Tribolium castaneum: one gene and its partners. The protein of the gene in region 3 purifies or fractionates together with the protein of the main gene of each other region. This does not show direct contact. Links are inferred from orthologs where the notes say so. Each region holds a gene or a part of one and is shown on either strand. Other genes may lie near its edges. The genes, in order: RRP12-like protein, bys, Tsr1, LTV1, RIOK2 and RpS23.

Region 1 (3,500 bases), on a different chromosome or scaffold from region 3:
CTCATGACTCGATTGCTTTCATAGATACGAAACAGGGAAAGTAACAAATTGTTCTCTCAATTATTTTTTCCACATTTTATTTGTACAAAGTGAGATTTTTTATATAGTTTTAATTATCGCAATTAAGTGAGTATTTGTTTGAATTCATTCAATCAATCTATTATTTTCTCATTTATTGTAGAAATTCTAGGTCTGGAATAAAAATATATTAAGTGCGCTTAATTTTTATTACAAGCTATCACAAGCTGGTACAAAGAACAAATCAATTTTTATTGCGATTTCTTTTGGCTTTGGCCCCCTTCAAGGCCCCGGCCTTGGCCCCCCTGATAATGTTCTTAAACTGTCCTGCTGCCTTCGACTTTTTTCTACAAGTTTCAAATCAGCTAAACCCACTCAAACTACGGAGGACTAACTACTAGGAGGCAGAAATCAAAGGCTTATAAAATCGGTTAAAACAAAGTACAACATTCACAACTTTATGGTACGAGATAACATTTTTTCAGTGTTTTGATAGTACATCGTTTTATCTTTCTGGTAGATACAAAAAAATAATAAAAATCTTAAACAAAGTTATACCCAAAAATAAAATAAAAAAATAATAATTACGACAATTCTTGCTTTAGTTGGTGTGATTTATTTAGGTTTCATGTTGTCATGTCAATTAAAGGAGAATTGTAAAAAACAATCGCAGCTTATAAAATAAGACAAGAACAAAAAAACTTTTTTTTATTTTATTTTTGTTTCATTTATCAAAATAGATTCTCATAAAAATTACGAAATTTTGAAATATTGCTTATGCGTAAACAAATGGGCATCATAATCTGTAAAATTCAAGCCTCAAATTTTTTTCATGAACGAATCAAAGTTAATTGAAACTTTTCGCCCCCTAGTTTTAGTCCTCCGCCCTTTTAGACTCACCTTTTGTTGATGGCAGACCTGCGCAAGGGCAAGTAGGCGTAAGGGTCCGGTTTGCCCTTCTTCTTAACATCACCTTTGGCCCTTTTGCCCCTGTATTCGCTTCCAGGGACACTGCTAGCGCCACTGCGGACGGACGCCGAACTCGTGGCCCGATGTATGCCAATTCCACCAGTTTTATACTTCGCAGGAGGCTGACTAACTGAACTAACTCCACTCTTAACACTTGCCGCTCTTTTGCGCTTTCTATCACTCAAAACTAGAGTTTCGGCCACGCTTTTATCGTCAACTTCCGAATCTGAATCAGAATCAAAATCGATTTTATTTTTCTTCTTGTCTGAATCACTGTCTGACGAATCGTCATCGGTGATAATGAGTCGGCCGTCTGGAGCGGTCTTAAAACCGCGGTCTTTCCCCGGTTTGGGTTTTTTCGAGGTGGCTGGGCAGAACGGTGCAGAGCCGGGCTGAGTGGCTGAAAAATAATAACAGTCGGGGAAAAACCAAGAGAAAGGTCCAATCACCTGTTATTTTACTGACCACGTTCGGGTCGGTAAAATCGACGATTGATTCGGGATCTTCCTCAATCCAGGTGTTCGGTTGTTTTCGCTTGACCACTTTGTGGTCGGTTTCCATGTCTTCGGTTTCGGAATCGGAGTCCGCTAGAATTTCTTCAACACTAAAATTTTTTTAATAAGTATAAAGTCGCCCGTTTCGTGTTTTTAAACCTCTTCGGTTTCGCTTTGATCAAAAATTCTTCATCCTCACTTCCGTCCTCTTCTTTTTGTCCCTCCTTCTGTCGCTTCTTTCGGGCAAGAAGCTTCCGAATGTTTCTCAATCTCTTGTACATAACTGTGTTCGATTCAGGTATGTAGGGGGCGATTGACTCACTTCCGTATTTCCTCACTAACTTATTTAAAATATCGCGGATTTTTAACCTGAAGTGTCTGCTACAATCGTCCGTCATCGAACACAAAGCCTTGATCTAAAATAATTCAACATGTTTTTGACATTCATGGGGTAATAACAAAAAATTGGAAAATTGAGAATTCGTCAATTTTCTTGACGCCAGTCGATTTCCCAGCTCATTTTACATAAGATTACGTCAAAATAATTTAACTTTTTCAAATAGTTTTGTCGTAATCATCGTTTGAAAAGTAAGTGTGTGAATTTTTCACCATGTTTTTTACATTTATCAGGCAATAACTCCGGAACTATTAGACTTAACCCCAGTAAGTTTAATATCGTCGGAAAGCTTTTTTGATAATCTATTTTTCCCAAAAAAGATCACTGCTCTCCGATTAGTAGTTTTCGAGAAATTTGCAAACCAATGCAAAAATTGGAAAAAATCATAACTTAGAAAGTATTGAGAATTTGTCAATTTTCTTGACGCCAGTCGATTTCCCAGCTCATTCTACATAAGATTACGTCAAAATAATTTAACTTTTTCAAATAGTTTTGTCGTAATCATCGTTTGAAAAGTAAGTGTGTGAATTTTTCACCATGTTTTTTACATTTATCAGGCAATAACTCCGGAACTATTAGACTTAACCCCATGAAGTGTATTATCGTTGGAAAGCTTTTTTGATAATCTAATTTTCCCAAAAAAGATCAATGCTGTCCGATTAGTAGTTTTCGAGAAAGTTGCAAGAAATGGAAAAAAATCATAATTTGGAAAGTATTGAGAATTTGTCAATTTTCTTGACGCTAGTCGATTTCCCAGCTCATTTTACATAAGATTACGTCAAAATAATTTAACTTTTTCAAATAGTTTTGTCGTAATCATCGTTTGAAAAGTAAGTGTGTGAATTTTTCACCATGTTTTTTACATTTATCAGGCAATAACTCCGGAACTATTAGACTTAACCCCAGTAAGTTTAATATCGTCGGAAAGCTTTTTTGATAATCTATTTTTCCCAAAAAAGATCACTGCTCTCCGATTAGTAGTTTTCGAGAAATTTGCAAACCAATGCAAAAATTGGAAAAAATCATAACTTAGAAAGTATTGAGAATTTGTCAATTTTCTTGACGCCAGTCGATTTTCCAGCTCATTCTACATAAGATTACGTCAAAATAATTTAACTTTTTCAAATAGTTTTGTCGTAATCATCGTTTGAAAAGTAAGTGTGTGAATTTTTCACCATGTTTTTTACATTTATCAGGCAATAACTCCGGAACTATTAGACTTAACCCCATGAAGTGTATTATCGTTGGAAAGCTTTTTTGATAATCTAATTTTCCCAAAAAAGATCAATGCTGTCCGATTAGTAGTTTTCGAGAAAGTTGCAAGAAATGGAAAAAAATCATAATTTGGAAAGTATTGAGAATTTGTCAATTTTCTTGACGCTAGTCGATTTCCCAGCTCATTTTACATAAGATTACGTCAAAATAATTTAACTTTTTCAAATAGTTTTGTCGTAATCATCGTTTGAAAAGTAAGTGTGTGAATTTTTCACCACGTTTTTGACATTCATCGGGTAATAACTCCGGAACTATTAGACTTAACCCCAGTAAGTTTAATATCGTTGGAAGGCTTTTTTGATAATCTATTTTTCCCAAAAAAGATCATTGCTCTCCGATTAGTAGTT
Region 2 (3,507 bases), about 11 Mb from region 3:
CGCCCCCACGCGAAATTGTCTTTGACAACTCGATCCTTCCCCCAGAACCGTACCCCGGGGATGTGCGGGTTGCGACCCCGCCCAGGACTTTGACTCTGGACAAGTACCCCTTTCCCACTCTTGAGGAGATGGAGGACCCGGAACTGAACCAGATTCCGGTGGTTAAACCAAAGAAAAAACAGGCGTTTGATGATTCGGATTTGAATCTGACGATACGCGAGACTACGCCCCCGATCGGGGGCAGCGGCGAGAGGCTGACGGCCGCCGAAGAGGTGCTGCACCTCAGGCGGCAAATGGCGAAGCTCAACAGACGTGTGATGGCCTTAGAATTAGAAAACTTGAGCCGGCTCCAAAAGGAGAAGTTTCTAGTTGGTTTTGGAGTCGCTTATTTGTTGTTGAAAGTCATTATTTGGATGAATAGAGATTAGGGAGCACTAGTTTATCCCTAAGTTAGGAACAAATCGTATTGACGTTAATTAGTTCTGGTTTAAGTAACATAATTTTCCTAATTTTTCCAAGTTTTTATTAATAGTCTTGTTGTAACCGATTTTTTTCAATATAATTATCACAATTATGTAACCATTAATTTAGTCAAAGTCCATTTTTGGTTCGGCGGTTTCAGCGTCTCGACATTTCGCATTTTGAATTTCTCTTCTGATCTCTGGTGTGATAGCGTGGTGGTTTTGCTTCTTTAATAATTCTAATAAACTGTCCCTTTGCTCGCTTGAAATATCAGCTTTGTATCTTTGTACAAATGTCAGGAAAGCCTGATGCCACAAAACGGGTAATTCCCTGGAATCTCGCTCGAATCTCAAAAAGTGGAACACAACTGCGTCCACAACACGATACGGCAACGCGTATCTTTTATCGAAGAAAATACGCAAAAAAATCGAATTGGCGCCGGTGTAATCCATTTCCGCGATTTTCAAAATCGCGGCAGAAGAATGCAAAATAGGAATAGAGTTTCTTGCGACAACTGAGCCTATTATAATAGCTTCCCTGAGCGTACAATCGCCACTTTCAAGCAGTGGTAGGAGAATTCCCTTCATGAAGCCCCCAGGTTTGAACAGGGCTTTCCTCAAGGCTTGATATAAGTGGAAATTGAGTCGCTTGTATTCGGCCAAGTCGTCGCGAATTCGGGGCAACAAAACCAAATTATAGAACCTCTGAGCCATTTTTTCCTTGAGGTTTGAGGCGAAAATACGGGTGGCTTGGTACATGGCAGCAGCTGACCAACTTGGCGGATCTAAAACTTAATTAACCGCTGGGCATCAACAATGATTTTAATTACCCGTGATGTATAAGATTTGTTCCCAATTCCGCAAGTTGGGGATGATTTTGAACGCTTTCGGCAACTTGCCGCTCCTATATTTCCGCAAAACATCCCTCACCCCTTGATACATTTGTTCCACCCGTGGGTCCAACTCCTGCATTTTGACCGAGCCTTCCTCGCTAAAATGCGTCTTAACTTCGGTAAACTTCTCGGCCAAAATATCCCCCAAAGTGCGTCTCGGGGCCGGATTGCTACTCATGAACTTCTCTAAAGCTTTCTCATCCTCTTCATTGATTTCAATGTTTTCGTAAAACGTGTCCGGTTCGAGGGTGTCTTCCTCTTCCGGTTCGGAGTCATCGTCCCCCAGTTTGGACACTTTAAACTTGCTTGAACTTGCCTCGGACGGCGTGGGGCCGAAACTTGAGTCCAGCTCGCGTTGCTGCTCTCGGGCGGCTGAGAGAATCTTCCGCGAGAGGTTCGAGTCCACAAACTGGAATTTTTTATTGGTTTTAGACAATCATAAAGCGATACAAACTTGTTCATCGTCGTCTTGTCTTAGACGGATTTTGTTGCGGTTTTTCGACTTGGCAAACTTCGCGTCCTCGATGTCCTGGTCCAGGGGCACCTTGGTGCCCATCTGAGACGGCTTCAGGCGCTTTGCTTTGCCCATTATCCCTATTTGTTTACCACACGTGTCTTCAAACTATCTGGACGTAACCTAAAAGGACTTGTCAGAGGTTTGGGTTGGCGACATTGGCAATTTAAAATTAAATTGGAAAACAGCAGCATTAAGTACGAGATTGGGTCAAATCGGGTAAAATATTTTGCAAAATTAATTTTCTAAAAATTCGCTTTTTAAACTATTGCGCTATTAGTTTAAAATTCGATAAAATTAAGCAATTAGCAGGGATTTTTTTATTATCCCTAGAGGTCAAGATGGAGGACACCATCTTCAAAACTTGTGTTGTTGGTGCATAAAAGTGTGTTTATTTCGTCAAAACGGTAATTTATCACTACATTTTTTCCTAATTAAGCTTACATAATGCTTGTTCAATACTTTGTCGTTTTTTTATTTGTCTAAATCGGTGTAAAAACTGAAATATTAGCTCCCATCCTCTCGTTTAGGTGTTGGCACTTTCCCCCGCAATGAAGCCCCCGGGGTCGAGATTTTAATTAAATTGTAGCGATGCGTTACATTGGAGCTGCCTAAAGGCCCCCTTGTCAGTGTTCAAAATAATAGCAATCCCAAATTGTGCCAAAATGTTCAATAGCAGCCTTTTGTACGAAAAACGACCTTTGAAAAAGCCGAAAATCGGCCCTCCGGACGTTTACCCGCAAGAACCGAAGCAAAAAGAAGACGAGTTGACGAGTGTCAACGTTAAACATGGGTTCCTGACAATGACCCACTTAAGCGACGAATTTGGAACGGCCAGAAACTGCAATATTTCGGCAAGCAAAGTCGGGGATTATTTCAATGACATTATCAAACGCAAAGAGGAGTTGAGCATGTTGCCCGATTCCGGCAGGAAGCGGCAACAAATCAACCCCAAAGACAACTTCTGGCCCGCCACAATACGAACAAAAAATGCCATAGAACTCTGGTTTAAGGATCTAGCTGGGAACAAACCATTGATGCACTTGTCGAAAAAAGCGCCCAATTTCAACAAGAAAGAGGAGATTTTTATAATGCTGTGCGAGTATCAGGTGCCTATGATGCGGGCCGCCTGGTTTATCAAGTTGAGTTCGGCTTACACAGTTGCCGTGTCCGAGGCCAAAATCAAAAAACGGCAAATGCCAGACCCGACTACAGGTCTCTATTTTATTACTTGTATTAACTTTACACTTAACTACAATTTCTTGTAGAATGGACCGGAACGATGCTAAAATTCCTCAAAGAACAAATCCTCAAACTGCAAGACTATTACTCCCAAGGTGAAAAGCCCCCTCAAACCCCTTCTCTGACCCAGGCTGCGACCACCGAAACTGAGCAAAAACTCGCAATGCGTCATTGGATTTACTGCACACAGTTGCTCAAATACATGTATGAGGAGGGCCTCATGGACAGGCAAGAAGTCCTGACCTGGATTCTCGAACTTTTGGAAAAAATGAGGTCACAACCGTCCGATGACGGCATTTTGCGCCTTTTGATGCCTTTATGTTTGCAATATTTGGACGAATTCGTCCAATCTGAGTTGTTATCGCGACGTTTGGCGCATTTGTGTTGCAAAAAACTT
Region 3 (3,117 bases):
CAGTTAAAAACAAGCCAAAATTACCCAAAAATATTTTGAGCGTTTAAACACGTTTTGTGTGGAAAACATCTTTCTTTGCTGGAGATTTCTAAACGCGGTAGAAACAGGACTAATGGAAGGTCGAAAGTCATTAATTTTGCTCTATTTTTCAGTCTAAAATTCAATTTTTCAAAAAAAAACCCGATAAACCAATAAAGAAGATAAAGAATTGTATACCTTGCGATGTTTTGCTAAATCTAGTCAAAAATCCGGTATTTTAATTCGTTGGTTAAGGTTTTTTGAGAAATCGATAAAACTAACCGAAAAATCACCAAACTAGATCAAAATAGATGTTATTTTAGATCTGAAAAAAACACGTCTTTAATTTTTTTTAAATAAGCTGAAATCAATGATATTTTCCTTTTTCACTCTTAGCTGGTTTTGAGCGAATTTTATTAAATTTAAAAAAAAACTCGAAGGAAATATGGAAATCAAATCAATTAACTTGTAATAAAAAATCATTCCATTCAGCACTTTTATTTATTATAAATATACAGCAAATGAAAGTTATTTGCATCAAAATAATCACGTTTCCATCTCTTCGTTACTGGCAACACTGACCACCAAATCTTCGTAGATCCATTTAGGAAACACTCTTTTGTACAAATTCAGAAGAACGGTGTCTTGCGATTTTAACTGTCCATCAAAAATACACTTGATGTGTCCATGTGTACCTAAAATAACCACAAAAAATTAATAATTACACTTGATGAAAAAAAAAAAAGACTTACCCAAAGGTTCTTTAATATGCCCTACACGTCCCATTTTCGTCCTCAATTTACAAGGCTTAAAGTAGATAATATCTTCACGATTGAAGAACAAAAACCTTATAACCGCTGATCTTTTATAAATTTTAAACGGGTGTCCTGACAAAACAATTCTCTTCAAGATAATCCTGTCGGGATTACAAGAAAGCAAACTTCCTGTCGCAACTAGAACCAACTTCCCATTTTCCTCCTTATAGCACAGAACGGGCGCAGGGGGGAATTGTATTCGGCCGTAAAAAGTGGCAACAACTGTTGATTCCGGTTGAAAATATCTCTCAAACTTGTGTTTCTGGCCGTTTGTATGTTGGCTGAATATGGGATTTGTGACAAATTTTCTGTAGCCACATTGGAAAATTAAGCGCTCTTTTGATTTGATTGGGAGAGAGTAGTTTGGGGTTCGTTTCAAGACGACGTTAATGACTGACATTTTGTATTCGTGGGGTAGTAACCCAAAGAGCACCAAGGGGGCGCCAACTTTCCCGAAGTTGGACCAGGAAAGTTGTGAAACGTTCTTTATATGAACAGTTATGTACCATCCAGGCTGCAAAATCACACATGACTCAAATACACATACCCAAATACCGTCGAATTTCGATAACTCGAACAGGGGGTAAAATAGGTCGAGTCATCGAAAATTAGTATTATCAAAATTAACTAAAAAAAAGAAACTTAAGATTTAGATGCAAATGGATAAAAATGCAAATGCAATCTGACCCCGAAATTTCAAAGTGATTTTAGTGATGTGAAGTTTCTTTCAAAATACACGATTCGGTTTCGATATAATGTATTTTGCGACTAAAGTGTTTTTGGGATAGGATAAATTTAATTTATTTTAATTTAATTTAAATTTAACTTGAAGTAATTCATTGGATTCTGAAATTTACATATAACGATAACGTCAGAATTTTACGTTGTCGTTATACAGGGTGCTCAAAAACTGGCGCACCAACTCAGTGGTACGGTGTTGAGAAGCATGTGTAGATTACGGGAATAATCATGAAAAAATTCCTAAAGTCGTATTTTAAAAAATCCGCAGCTACAAACTTAGGTCATTAACTTCTTCAGTTTTCTTTATTTTTAAATTTACTAGTAGACCTTACCAATTTTTTTTAATATCAAAAAAATAAAATTCATCAAAAAATCACAATTTGTAGATGTGCCAACACTGGAAATTATTTCCTAGGAAACCATTTCAAAAATAATTTATTTTTATTGTTGATCAAATTCTATTGAGACCACGACAGTTACACAGCGTTGCCAGATATCATTTATTTAAAATTCGTTATTTATCACTAATTTTAATACAAAGATTTTTTTTACTATTTTTACCTTTATATGTAATCAGTTCTCTACCACACACCATTGAGTTGGTGCGCCGGTTTTTGAGCACCCGGTATATGTTACTACAACTGTTGAATATTTTTTGAAGAGTAATTTTTTAGTTTCTGGTAGTTTAGAAAATGAAAATTGATCAGTAAATTGGTTAGTAACATTACTTTCTATCTTTATAACTTTTGTTGTCCCGTCCGTAATCACAAAAATAAAATGTTGGTCTTATTTCTTACATTGTTAAACAAAACCAAGAATTTTTTATTTCCACTGTCTAATTTTAATATTGTTAAAGTCTTTATTAATTAAAACCTGACTGAATAAATTTTTTAGAGCGATTTCACGCATAAGATTTTTTTGTCCCGTCCGTCATGTGTAAACAAAAAGTAAATTAATCAGAAGTCGTTGCGTTGCACATTGCCTTATTCTTCGGTTTTGTGATTTCAAAAGCTTCAACAGGTTTCACCTTTTATTTCAAAAATAATTGTTGGAATTAGTGACTTTTAAATTAACAGAATTTTATAAGGATTGTGCAACGATAAAAATGTGAGGTCTTTTTGTATACCGTCCGTCATCAATTTGTAATTATTTTTCCTGTCCGTATTTTAAAATTAAAAATTGTAGGTTGCAAAAAATTTGACTGATACTAAGTTCCTAAAAAAAATTCACCTCTACTGCTGTTCATCAAAACTGAAAATAAAATTTAATAATAATTTGTGTGCCCCGTCCCGTTAAAATGGAATGGCTGTTTTGTCAATTAACCAATTTTTACCAATATATCTTACAATACAACAAATAAGAGACGATCGTTTATTATTGTATCAAATTAGGTTCTTCGATATTATTCTTCTGTCTATAAATTTTTTTCACGAAGTACAGACATTACTCAGACAGACGATATCTTGTGAAATACTACCTAACGGATGCTTTAAAATAAAATGCTTTGGAATGTGGCTTATTTATACTTTCAGTTTAGCGACAA
Region 4 (4,267 bases), on a different chromosome or scaffold from region 3:
TGTAAACAAAACAATTACCAAACACAGAAACTACACTATCGCGACAAAAATACAAGTAATACACGGAAATAAAAATCTTGCGCAATATCTCTAACAAGACGCGGTAATTGGAGTGATCAAAAAGTGCGCAAATTACAAATCACTTTTTGATGACCCTTCCTGTATTATCTATCCAGTGACCTACAACCTCTCCAGTGATCGAACAAAGAAGTTCTTAATTTACCTAATTTCATGTGACTAAACCAGTAAATACGATAATATTTATTACTGAACATCTGTACATTAAAAACAAAGGACTTAAGCAGTCACTTGCTATTTATACAAGTTACAAAAGAAAAAAACACGCTTGTTTTATCAAATCCCTTTTGATAAAGTTTTAATAAAAGAGCGACGCAAATGAGACTGATATAATAGATAGAAGCTCTCAAAAGTTTCCAATAGGAGATACAATGAACGAAATCCCTGGTGTACTAATCCATAGAAAAGTTTGTCATGAACTTTTATAATAGCTGCATTATTTTCGGTTAAAATTCAATTAATTCAAATAATTCTATTCTCTTATCAAGTAACTCACAATTTTCAATATAAAACCACCATTATTACATTTATAAATTCGACACTGACTCACGTTGGACTTTAACACGAAAAAAATAAAAAAGTGTGTAGGCATATCAGTTCCTGTGAATAATTAGTAACTACTCATTCATTGTTATTAGAGTTCAAAATCGATTGAATATTTAAATAAAAATCTCAACTACACAATTTATTTGCTTTTGGCCAATAAATAAGCAAAACGTCCATTTCTAAAAATAAACACCAACAAACAATTTTAAATTGAATGCATTTCGCGTTAAAAAATTCAAAATCGTTTAAAAGTTCATGGTCGATCGTGAATTGAGTAAATTTAAATAACGGCATTAAAATTTCCAGTTTTCCCTTGTCCTATTTTCAGTGTGTTTTATTCAAAGTAGCGAGATCTCATTTTAATTTAATTTTCTCACGTTTGAGAAAACAGAAACTGTTACAGCAATCAAATAAAGTACCTACCTTTAAATATTATGTAGGCTTTAAAAGTGCTGTGAAATGGGTCGGTTCTCATTTGCAAGTTATTTATTATGTTGCAGCATGAGAAAAATATTTATTTACTCAATCAGGTGTGAATTGCGGAACCGAGATAACAGGATAATGATGAAAAGCTACGATGTTTCACAATAATTTGGGAAAAATAACAATTTTATCGGTGACCCACTTGAACCGTGTTTTTTTTTAATAAAACTCATATTTTTGAAGACTGCAGGCTTCTGATTTGCATTTCACTAACTGATTTTATTGACTTTTGTAATTTTCATGTTTATTTCGAGTTGCGTAACACAGTAATATCAATAAATTTTGTAGACTTGATTTCCTCATGTGTTAATCATTTTAAGTGTAGACTGGCGTTCGCATTACCATAATTAAATCTGTTCAGAAATTTAATTGAAGGCATGGTATTTTACTTACAGCTGGTTCCTTGATCAGTTTTGGGTGGTTGTAAATATTGGAGTAGGTGCTCAGGATAGACTCACAATCCCATTTTTCCTTCTGCGGTACTTCCATGTACACCATCTCCTCCTCACTTTTAGAGTCTTTAGTTAAGCTTTCATCAATTTTCGCCTTTATAACTTCCTTATCTAATTTTTCATTTTGTTGGCTCTTTTCAAATTCTTGGGCATATTGTAGGAGTATGTCAGAGCTTTCAGGTACATGCCCTTCTATCTCTTCGCAGTCCAAAGCCCCAATTTCGTTGTCGTCATAATCAGCATACATCTAGACACAACAAAAAATATTTTCGCAATTTTTCGTTGCCCAATTACCTGTTCAAATCTATCATCGAGCAAAGTGAGCTGCTCGTTCCTCCTTATAACAGAACTAGTCATGGAATAACTTGTAAATCTTGACTTTGTTTCTTCTTCGTTGAAAGAGAGTTGAGAGTCTGGTAAAGATCCAACTTCATCTCTCTCTTCACTGCCCAAATCAGATTCCACTTCAAACTCATCATCAAATTCTTGATCAGAAGCAACACCTTCAGCTAACTCAATAAAATTATCCTCCAACTGATTCTCAGGATCTGAGTAATCAAAATCTTCGTCCATTGCCGCAACCAAATCAGGGTCCAATTGAAGTTGAGGCCCTACAACCCAGACTTACACCACAAATAAGCATTTTTCGACACAAACCTGAAACTGGAGCGGCCTTGCTCAACATTCCCTCTTTTTCCTCATGTTTTGAGGCAAAAACTGTGGCAGGCAAGTCCAGCTTGACCCTTCTCTCTTTGAGAGACTTTTCCACATGGTCGGGCCATTCTACTTGATTGTCTTTGGAGTCTTTCAAGTGTTCCAAATAGTTGCAGTCGTCGTTGTAGTAAATTCCATATTTATGTTGCTCCTCCAAGCGTTTTTCTTTCTCATGTATTGGGACGAGGACTCTCTGAGGAGCGTTCTCGTCCGCTATTAGGGGGTCCTGCTGGCTTCTGTGGACCAGTTGGAAGGTAATCGCCTTCTTTTTATCGATAAATTTCCGTGTCTTTGGCTAAAATTGTAGTGGTTAGGAAACATAACCCCAAAATTGGTACTTCTTCAGTTTAACTTTAATATAACACCAACTTACCATTTTCTGTGTTATCAATATTTGCAAAAATATTCACAGAAACCCTTTCCAACAAAATTGATGCTTTTATAGTCTCCCGAAGTTGGGAAAAGTTAAATAATGATAAAAAATTAGGTTATGTCTGCACGTGTCAACAAAGAACTGTCAATTATGTTTTATAACTTTTTTTCTATTTTAATACAAAACAGAAATTGTAACAAATATTTATTTACTCAACGTTTCTAAAAGTTACAGAAAGAACAAATGGAAAATCTTTGCTATCACTGGACTGACGGAATAATTGGGCATGCTGCCAGGCCACATTGCCCTTGCCTCCACTTAAAGTTGCCTTAATTGTAAAATGCCTCACTCCCGAAAATGCCTGAGTTTCTAGAGCCCCTTCAGCTACAAATAAATGTTAAAAAAATAAAACAAAACAATTTAACTGATACTTTTTGGAAAATCCACACATTTATCATCGGAAATTAGTTGTATTTGTACGACTCCACTTTCGTATAGTTGATAATTGAATTTTAATGATAAGTTATCTATACACTTTTTAACCCCTTTATCTAATTCGAATCTCCATGATATACTCCCTTGATCGGTCCCTTCTAAAAATTGTCAAGTAATAATATGAAAAAACAATTGGTTTAAATCGCACCATTTCGGGCCAAATAAACCGTTTTCCAATCTTTCTCTTCTTTTCTGAACACATTACTGAAATCATAGACACCATATTGCCAGCCGTTTACCCCCAAAACACTATTATCCCCCTTCACAAACTCGTACTTATCAAACGCGGTGGAATATTTAATTGTCAATTTATTATTAACGATATGTTTACTCGGAACAATCCACACATACATGTTCTCATTTTTTATTTCCCCTCTTGCACTTCTCCATTCTTTCGATCCCGAAATACGGCCGAACTTTTCACTATCATTCGCTTTTCTCTCCACCATCAATTCTATCAACTCAGTAACCAATCTTTTCGTTAAATAATCACGTTTAGGTGCACTAAATGACTTCTGGCGCTCATTTCTAAGCGTAATTAAGGCATTCACAAGTTCGTCTTCTGAACATTTGTTTCTTCGTGTCCGAACTTCTCTGTGATTGCTGGAATAACGCCAGGTGACATCCTGGACTTCATCAGGAGAATACGCTATAATGTATGTTAATTTTTTATTCCACCCTGTTTCGTACATTAGGGGCGTATCACATGCGTTTTCGCAGCAGTCGCAATGAACCCAACGTTTTTGCGTAACTGAATAAACCTAAAAAAATAAATTGTGAATGTTATTTATTATGGAAAGAAAAAAACTAACTTCAGTCCACACGTGGTCAAGTTCATCAACCACATAGCGAGCATCCCACCCCAAAGAGCGGCAAAGTAACGTAAAAACATTTGCCCATTCCCCACACCTCCCTCTTCGAGTCTCCAATAAGATATTTAAATCGTTAAAACGGGGAAATTTAGTAAATGCGTTGCAAGTTTTACATTTGTAGACCTTCAAATTATTTTAAATGAAAAATAACAAATTGGGAATATTAAAACGTACTTCAACCCTGCTTGTATAAACTAAATCGGTCTTATCCGAACTCATGTGAGACATCGCAGTGTTTCCCCCGCATTTCTCAC
Region 5 (4,109 bases), on a different chromosome or scaffold from region 3:
TTTTTTTGCCCTAAAGTAACGCAAAGTAGTTCGTAAGAACTTTGTCGGGGTCAATCCTCCATAAAGTAACCGCAATACTACGTCAAGTCACCGAAAATAGTCAGAAAAAAGTAGTACTTTTGGAGACATAAAGTTTTCAAAATTGTAAGTCATAAATTTGTAAAAATGCTTGCCGCAATCGTCCGTAAAACAACCCAAAATAGTCGGTAAAATTTGTTTTTCTATTGTCATTGTTAAAATCGTCCGTAAAGACAGTCCTTGGATACATCAAAAATTTTAAAAAATACGGGTTCAGAAAAAACGTAAGGTAACACTTCAGCACTAAAGTTATTTTTTACACTTATACAAGGTGGGTCTGCTAGAAGTATACTTTTAATATACCCCAGAAATAATAGTCACACAAATTTCCAGTTTGTTATTAAATACTTGTATACTTATTATTAATTATAAGTTCGTGGCAAAAGATTAATTTAGGAATCATTTTAGAACAAGCATTTAGTGCAAAAAATTCATAAAAAATGTTTCTAGCCCCAAAAATAATTAAATAAAAATGGAAATAGAGGTAACTTTGGGGCTATCATTATTAATATTTTTAATTAATAAATTTTAATTATCAGGAAAGGTGGATAAATTAAAAAAGCAAACGCTGATTTCTCTCCTACTATTAGTTTTTGAGATATATTAGTTTTGAGATGCTCTGAACTCAGAATTCGCTAATTTTGGGACACTCCTGTAATAAAAATACTTTAGAGTATTTAAAAATACTTTCAGCACCCATCTACGTGAGAAAATAACTTTAGTACATGTATATTGGTTAAATAAATGTCTGATTAAAGTGCCCCCTGATTTTGAAATTAAGTTGGTAATACTGAATTAGTGAGATAAAATTGTGTCAGTTGACACACATCCCAGCCAGAGATGCCACATTAGAGCATCTTTCCCAGCTCTAGGAATTTTTTAACAAGAAAAAAATTTTACATAATTTAGAAATTCTTTTAGTTTTCAGTAAAAATATCAAAACCGTAGATTTATTTCAAGTTAACATTAGGCAACGACTCTGGATACCCAGCTAAAAATAAACTGCCATTCTTGGATTTTTAATTATAAAAAAAAAGGGAAGATAATATCCTCTACCTCTTAATAATGAACGAAAACGTTATTCAAACTTGAATTTTTAATCTTTTATCTTACAGAGGCTTACTTGCTTGTAATTGTTTTTTCCCGAAAATTTGTTGACACAGATGCTCACTTTAAAAACAAGAAAAGTTTTTTTTCCAACAACGATTATTTTAGTATCATTGTTTTCATCATAAAATGTGATAAAAGGGAGACAGTAAAAGTGTAAGTACACCTAGTCTGTTTATTCTTTACATTTATTTTATTTTTAATTTATTTATTCTTTAAATTTATTTTTAAATCAATTGTTAAAGTGTTGTTATATTGGTATGAGTTATATGTTATATATGTTATATTGGTATGAGCCTCTTTCACCCACTAGTTATTTGATGATTACTAGGCTGGCAACCGTATCATTATCATTATGAATTCTTTGTCTTTTGAAATAAAATTTCCTTAACCCCGTTGTAAGTTTTCTGATATTTAACAATAAAAACTTGATTTTTTTCGATACAAGTGTTCCGAAACTAAAGGTTTTAAGGTGTTTGAGAGAATATTCACTTTGACAATTGTTATAAAAAAAAAATAAAACGAATTTACTCATCAAAAAGAAGTTAATTTATGTTATATTGTTTACGTATTATTTTTATTTGTTGTTTTTACTTTTAACAATTTTATTTTATAATTATTATGTATTCCCTAGAAATCGTCTTAATTGATACTCTTTTTACAATGTTGTCACAATAACTTTTTACCCAGTTGGACGTTTTCTTCTTTATTTACACAGTTTGAGGAATTTTGTTACTACACTTTAGGGATAAGTGTAACGTTTGAATTTGGCACTGTTGCCAACTTAATTTCAAATTCCAAAGCAACTTTGACCAGTAATTAAAATAAGTAAAAACTCACAAGGGCCGCCCTTTGACCAACTCCATGATGACACAATGTCTATTAAAATCAATGGGTTTAGGGACTGGAAACTTCCTATCATACAGCGCCTTCATGTAAGCAAATTCTTTAGTGGCTGAAATTCTTGATAAGTACAACCAAGACGCCGATTTTCTGTGCTTGTGATAATCTCGTTTATTCGTAACATTCCGGAAACACACTCGTCCCAATCTATGCAACTTCAAACAAACTTCCTCTCCTTCAGGATTTGCAACAATATAAATATTACTCTCCTTCCCCACCCCAATCTGATTTCCAAAAGAACCAATAACGTCGCGTTTTGTTAACGAATGGAGGGCCAGATAGTCATACCCCATGTTGGTCAAGCGGTAACCATCGTCTGAAATAATAAAATAAAACCTGAAGTCTGCAAAAACATTAACCCACATTTGCGCCCCCGCTCGTAACTCAATAATCCGTGCTTGCACAAATCACGCAGCAATTTGTGAACACCGCCGTGCTGCAAATTCGCAATGGACGCAGCCATGGGGCCCGGAACCAATTCGTGGTTTTTCATGCCCATCTCAATCTGAAAAGTGAGGTTAGGAAAATAAATTCAAGATAAAACGCCAAATTACCGCTGTTAGAACCCGGAAATCCTCACCGGTGAGGTAACGCATTATTGTTACGTTCAATTTCCCCATTTCTAACACTTAAATTAACTATTTTTCACGCAATTGCATCAACACATTTGCAAGGTTTGAGATTGTTTCTAGTTCCAAATCAAAAATCACCAAGAGGTTTTGGGGGCAAAATTTAAAGAACAAATTTAAATAAAACATTTTTTACTCTAAATTGGCCTAGGACTAGTTATTAATCACTCCATGATACAAATGTGGTAATAACACGTTAATATGTACAAATATAAATAACAATCAGTCACGTTTTGAGCATTTATTTCCTTGAGTAATGTCCATTCCCTCGGACTTCCGTGGCCGAGTACGCCCTGTACATCTTTTCAGCCCCTCGTACGTTAACAGGGGGCGACCTGCGCACCCCGTTGCTCACCCCGTTAGGGGTGGCCCCATAAACGTATTTCTCCGATTGGGGCAACTGCACGTTAATTTTGTGGTGCTTCACTGTGCTACTATCACTGGAATCAAGTGATGACAGTGAGTTCACCACTTGTAAGTTCTGGAATGGCAACGCTTTGCTTATTGAAAACTCGTCCTTCGGCTTGTCTTTCGTCTTGATGATTTGACTGCGAGACACGTTTTTCTCCTTTTGCTCTTCAAGGGGGATTCGTGGGTCAATCGGGGGGATATAAAAGTCCGGAACTTTGCGAAGACTGAGCGTTGAGGCTCTCCTTCGGCTGGTTTTGTCCGTTTCGAGGCCGTTGGTTTTGGGGGCTGAGACAGGTCCGCGCGACTCGTTTCGCTCCCCCTCAGGGCCGATTTCTTCATCGGACAGTGCTTCGATTTCTTCTTCGTTTTCCTCCTCAATGACACTCGACTGGATCCACTGGCGGATTCGGTCCTTTTTGGCCGTTCGGTCAACGGTTGTCTCAAGTCCGTACTGGGTTAGGGTGAAGAGTAGTTTATTTTTTTCCTCCGGACTGCTGTGGAAGCTGTACATTGAGGGGCAAAGCCCCTCCTCTTCATCCGGCAACTCGCTCGTTTTCTCCATCCCGCCTTTGGACATCCAGCGGTCTTCCAAATATCGATGGACTTCGGCAAGCCCCGCTGGTCTTTTCTCGGGTTTTGGTTCTAAATATTTTTTGAAGAGTTTTTGGGCTTTGGACGACACCAGTTTAAACAATTTTGGCTGTCTTTTCAGTGGAATAGTGCTGCTTTGCCAGGAAATATACCTGGAGTACCGGGGGTCGTCAGGGGCGGCTTTCTGCCATGGAAGACACCCGGTCAAACACACAAATATCACAATTCCAAACTGCCAAACGTCGTGACTAGTGTTGGTCCTGTGAGAAAAATGTAAATTTAGAAAAATGGAGTAATTTAAGTAATTAAAGAAATTTTGGACAAATCAGGAAAATTAGAAGAAACCAGGCGATATCTATTGCCAATCAACATTTTTTCTTAGTATTTTCG
Region 6 (2,975 bases), on a different chromosome or scaffold from region 3:
TTATTGAGATGATTGATGATGACTCATCTGATGAAGTTCACATACCTGCGGCTTTTCTCATGGGCAAAAACGGTATTATGATCACAAAAACGCTGGAAAGGTTAAAAAGATCGTATGCAATAATCAATTTACCTGTAAATTTAACCTTCACACCAGTACATGAAATGAATCAACCACCGTGGTTAGGATGGTAATTAGTGAATGAAACACAAATCAGGGTCAAGTTCCTCAGTTGTTAACCCCAGTTGGACACTGTACTTATGTTTATTTATTGCCAAACAAGTTATTAACTGGTGTGGGGTTGTATTGTTTAAATGGCCACGTCTGTGCCATGTGTGAAAAATTGCTCACCTCTAGTCAACTGTTAGCAATAATTTTTTAAGAATTTACTGTCTTAATTGTTTGTACATATCACTTGTATTTATTGAATAAATTTTAAGGTGTTCTTGCGTTTGTCTTTATTCTTAAGTAGGGAGCAAGTGAGGGATTAAGACAAAACATTAACTTAATTCCGGAATTTTATTAAAATACCAGTATCCAAGATGTAAAAATTAACAAAATATAAATTACGACCTAGGTCTTTCCTTCTTTTCTTTGTACAACGCTAGTAGGGATACGTTGGCTACTTTGACAACCTGTAAGCAATAAAATTGGAGATGTGTGTTTTTATGGGGTTGCTGTCTTATACCTTGAACCTAACTCCGGGAATATCACCTACGGCATGACCTTTACGACCGAAACCTGCGACCAAAACTTCGTCGTTTTCTTCAATATGGTTCAAGCAACCATCTCTAGGGACGAAAGCGGTGATTTTCTTCCCGTTTTTGATCAACTGGACCCTAACACACTTACGGATAGCGGAGTTGGGTTGCTTAGCCTCAACACCTCTGCAAAAACAGTAACATTTCGTCTCCATACTCCTCTCATGATTTTAACAAACAAAATTAACTTGCCTGTGGTGACAAAACCAACTCCCCGCACAGAATTTTCCTGTGATTGAATCAAGCACACCCATTCACAAGCAAATCCTGCGCAGGGCGCCAATTACCCCATTTGAACTGTGGCACACATATCAGAGCGTGAAGTCAACCGAATTGACTTCCCAATGGTTCAGAGTACCATCTTTAATCTAGCACTCTTAAAATTAAACTAAGGCATCAAAGGAGTGCCTAGTTGTCTCAAAGTGCACTTGTAGCAAAATAAGAGACTCACACTTTTTCAAGCACAATTCCCTTGGCGTGCGAAGCCCCCCCGAAAGGATTGGCCTTCCAGCGGGTCCCCAAATGGGCCTTCTTGTAGTCTTTGTCGGCCCATCGCTGCTCACGACGATGGTTCACATGTTTACGAGCCGTCCTCAAACCGCGGGGCTTACCTGAAACACAAAAACATGAATTAGAAAAATACGAAAACAACGACGCCAAACAAACTCCCACAATCACATTTACCGAAAAAAAGGGCAGTTTTGCATGTGTTTAGCAAGAGGATGGAACGGATTTATTTCAAGGGAGCGAAAAGCGAGCGAAGTTACAATCGATATTTTTGGGGGTAAGTTACCGAAAAGTCACTTGTGGCCCATGAAATTTGATGAGGCGACACACAAATTAACGGAATTCGGATAATTACGGCAAATTTAACGACCAAAACGCGAAAAAAACGTATTTATTTACGCCAGTGCGTGACACTCACCCATGTTGGTTGCTGCAAAACTTCGGCAAAAGAGGCCCAGGAATGCCAACCTGACGCCATGTAAGGCCCGAACGTTGGCAACGCCTCGAAACGGATCGTTGTTTTTGGGGCATAGGAGCCCGATCCGGGACCCGGATTTACGTTTCCGGTTTGTTGCCAGTGGGCTAATTGCAATTTCGTGTCAATTGGACGTGTTATTCCCCAATTTCGAATCCGATTTTTTGAGAAAGTGGGGTCATTGTCGCCGTTGTGTTGGTAGTGGACTGAAATCGATCCAATTTTTTTGTGATAGAAGAGGATAAGCGATTTTTGACAGTTCGAAGCGCACTTTTTGTATATTTTTTTAAGCAACCTATCGAGTTCTTGGCTGTATAGCTTTTTTTGTACTTCTATTCTGGACCAAGTTATAATGTTTGCGTGTTTTACGTTTTTGCTCCGGATTTTCTAACAATTAAGGTAATTATCAACGCCTTCTTTTCATAGTAATCTAATTACTCGTTTGTTTATTTTGCGTTTTTTGACAGTAGCAAAAATAACACACACTCCGTAAACAAAAGCACACTTGCGGCTTATTATTAGAAAAATGATTTCCCAATGTTTGTTTTATTCCAGATACGGGACTGAACATGGAAAATGCTCAAGAACGCGATTTTCACAGAAGTTTGGAGCCTGACGTGATCATTAATCATGAACTCAGTGAAGACGAAGAAGTGAGTTTGATTACTAACACAGGGGCCCCCATATCGTGCTAAATTCAAAGAAATGGGGACATTTCGCTCTAGAGTCGATAACTTTTTCTTGAGGGTTTTTATCGTCTTTTTGCCACCATTTTAAAATATGTTTTAAGACAACTAAGAAGGCTGGGATTACTGTTTACTGATGACAATGACATTTGATACTCGATTGTTTGTTTGTTGGCGTGCCCCCAATTTTTGCCCTCATTATTCTTAAACCTATTTAAATCAGATTTAATCTAACATTAAGTTCCTAAAGATTGCTATACGTGTATGAAGCCTTTACTCAAAATTAAGTTAACGTTGAAAATTCCTTCTTTTCCAGGAAGTGACTTGCGTGAAGAGCAGGGACGTGCACTCGGCGTCGAATAATGGCCATCCCAAGACGGTGCAACCAGACATATCCATAATTCCGATAAGTAGAAAGCCTCAGATCAAAATAAAGCTGTTCAAGAAGGAGTATTCCCCCTCGAAGGACGACACGAAAGTACAAAGCATCTCTCGATCTCCGCGTCAAACGGTAAGACTGGTATCAAAAGACGAAGCAGAGCGTGC

The links.
Region 1: the proteins of Tsr1 (region 3) and RRP12-like protein purify together in Homo sapiens (affinity purification with mass spectrometry; 3 studies listed by BioGRID and IntAct, counting the BioPlex papers as one, with this or other methods). This does not show direct contact. The link is inferred for Tribolium castaneum from reciprocal best matches to the Homo sapiens genes TSR1 and RRP12.
Region 2: the proteins of Tsr1 (region 3) and bys purify together in Homo sapiens (affinity purification with mass spectrometry; 3 studies listed by BioGRID and IntAct, counting the BioPlex papers as one, with this or other methods). This does not show direct contact. The link is inferred for Tribolium castaneum from reciprocal best matches to the Homo sapiens genes TSR1 and BYSL.
Region 4: the proteins of Tsr1 (region 3) and LTV1 purify together in Homo sapiens (co-immunoprecipitation; 4 studies listed by BioGRID and IntAct, counting the BioPlex papers as one, with this or other methods). This does not show direct contact. The link is inferred for Tribolium castaneum from reciprocal best matches to the Homo sapiens genes TSR1 and LTV1.
Region 5: the proteins of Tsr1 (region 3) and RIOK2 fractionate together in Homo sapiens (co-fractionation; 3 studies listed by BioGRID and IntAct, with this or other methods). This does not show direct contact. The link is inferred for Tribolium castaneum from reciprocal best matches to the Homo sapiens genes TSR1 and RIOK2.
Region 6: the proteins of Tsr1 (region 3) and RpS23 fractionate together in Homo sapiens (co-fractionation; 3 studies listed by BioGRID and IntAct, with this or other methods). This does not show direct contact. The link is inferred for Tribolium castaneum from reciprocal best matches to the Homo sapiens genes TSR1 and RPS23.

The regions. Positions count from the first base shown.
Region 1 is NC_087395.1:23,545,583-23,549,082, forward strand, and holds the end of RRP12-like protein, read right to left. Parts: intron 1,898-3,500; coding exon 1,641-1,897; intron 1,592-1,640; coding exon 1,437-1,591; intron 1,388-1,436; coding exon 919-1,387; intron 366-918; coding exon 263-365; 3' UTR 214-262; downstream 1-213.
Region 2 is NC_087398.1:4,030,195-4,033,701, reverse strand, and holds bys (bystin), read right to left. Parts: upstream 2,030-3,507; 5' UTR 1,944-2,029; coding exon 1,809-1,943; intron 1,764-1,808; coding exon 1,292-1,763; intron 1,247-1,291; coding exon 588-1,246; 3' UTR 501-587; downstream 1-500. Other genes in the region: Tango11 (transport and Golgi organization protein 11), read left to right, coding at 1-428; kto (mediator of RNA polymerase II transcription subunit 12), read left to right, coding at 2,534-3,083, 3,137-3,507. UniProt on the Homo sapiens protein: Required for processing of 20S pre-rRNA precursor and biogenesis of 40S ribosomal subunits. May be required for trophinin-dependent regulation of cell adhesion during implantation of human embryos.
Region 3 is NC_087398.1:15,011,579-15,014,695, reverse strand, and holds the end of Tsr1 (pre-rRNA-processing protein TSR1 homolog), read right to left. Parts: intron 1,348-3,117; coding exon 771-1,347; intron 714-770; coding exon 565-713; 3' UTR 501-564; downstream 1-500. UniProt on the Homo sapiens protein: Required during maturation of the 40S ribosomal subunit in the nucleolus.
Region 4 is NC_087396.1:13,992,899-13,997,165, forward strand, and holds the start of LTV1 (protein LTV1 homolog), read right to left. Parts: upstream 2,801-4,267; 5' UTR 2,650-2,800; coding exon 2,647-2,649; intron 2,569-2,646; coding exon 2,217-2,568; intron 2,171-2,216; coding exon 1,854-2,170; intron 1,807-1,853; coding exon 1,501-1,806; intron 1-1,500. Other genes in the region: Pngl (peptide-N(4)-(N-acetyl-beta-glucosaminyl)asparagine amidase), read right to left, coding at 2,855-3,030, 3,078-3,239, 3,290-3,902, 3,954-4,136, 4,188-4,267. UniProt on the Homo sapiens protein: Essential for ribosome biogenesis.
Region 5 is NC_087394.1:23,768,422-23,772,530, forward strand, and holds the start of RIOK2 (serine/threonine-protein kinase RIO2), read right to left. Parts: upstream 2,801-4,109; 5' UTR 2,709-2,800; coding exon 2,643-2,708; intron 2,594-2,642; coding exon 2,452-2,593; intron 2,405-2,451; coding exon 2,026-2,404; intron 1-2,025. Other genes in the region: serine/threonine-protein kinase SBK1, read right to left, coding at 2,959-3,979. UniProt on the Homo sapiens protein: Serine/threonine-protein kinase involved in the final steps of cytoplasmic maturation of the 40S ribosomal subunit. Involved in export of the 40S pre-ribosome particles (pre-40S) from the nucleus to the cytoplasm.
Region 6 is NC_087397.1:10,542,711-10,545,685, reverse strand, and holds RpS23 (small ribosomal subunit protein uS12), read right to left. Parts: upstream 1,821-2,975; 5' UTR 1,691-1,820; coding exon 1,687-1,690; intron 1,373-1,686; coding exon 1,213-1,372; intron 1,058-1,212; exon of another isoform or gene 955-1,057; intron 888-954; coding exon 689-887; intron 636-688; coding exon 567-635; 3' UTR 501-566; downstream 1-500. Other genes in the region: PRADC1-like protein, read left to right, coding at 1-194; zinc finger protein 184, read left to right, coding at 2,313-2,396, 2,746-2,975. UniProt on the Homo sapiens protein: Component of the ribosome, a large ribonucleoprotein complex responsible for the synthesis of proteins in the cell.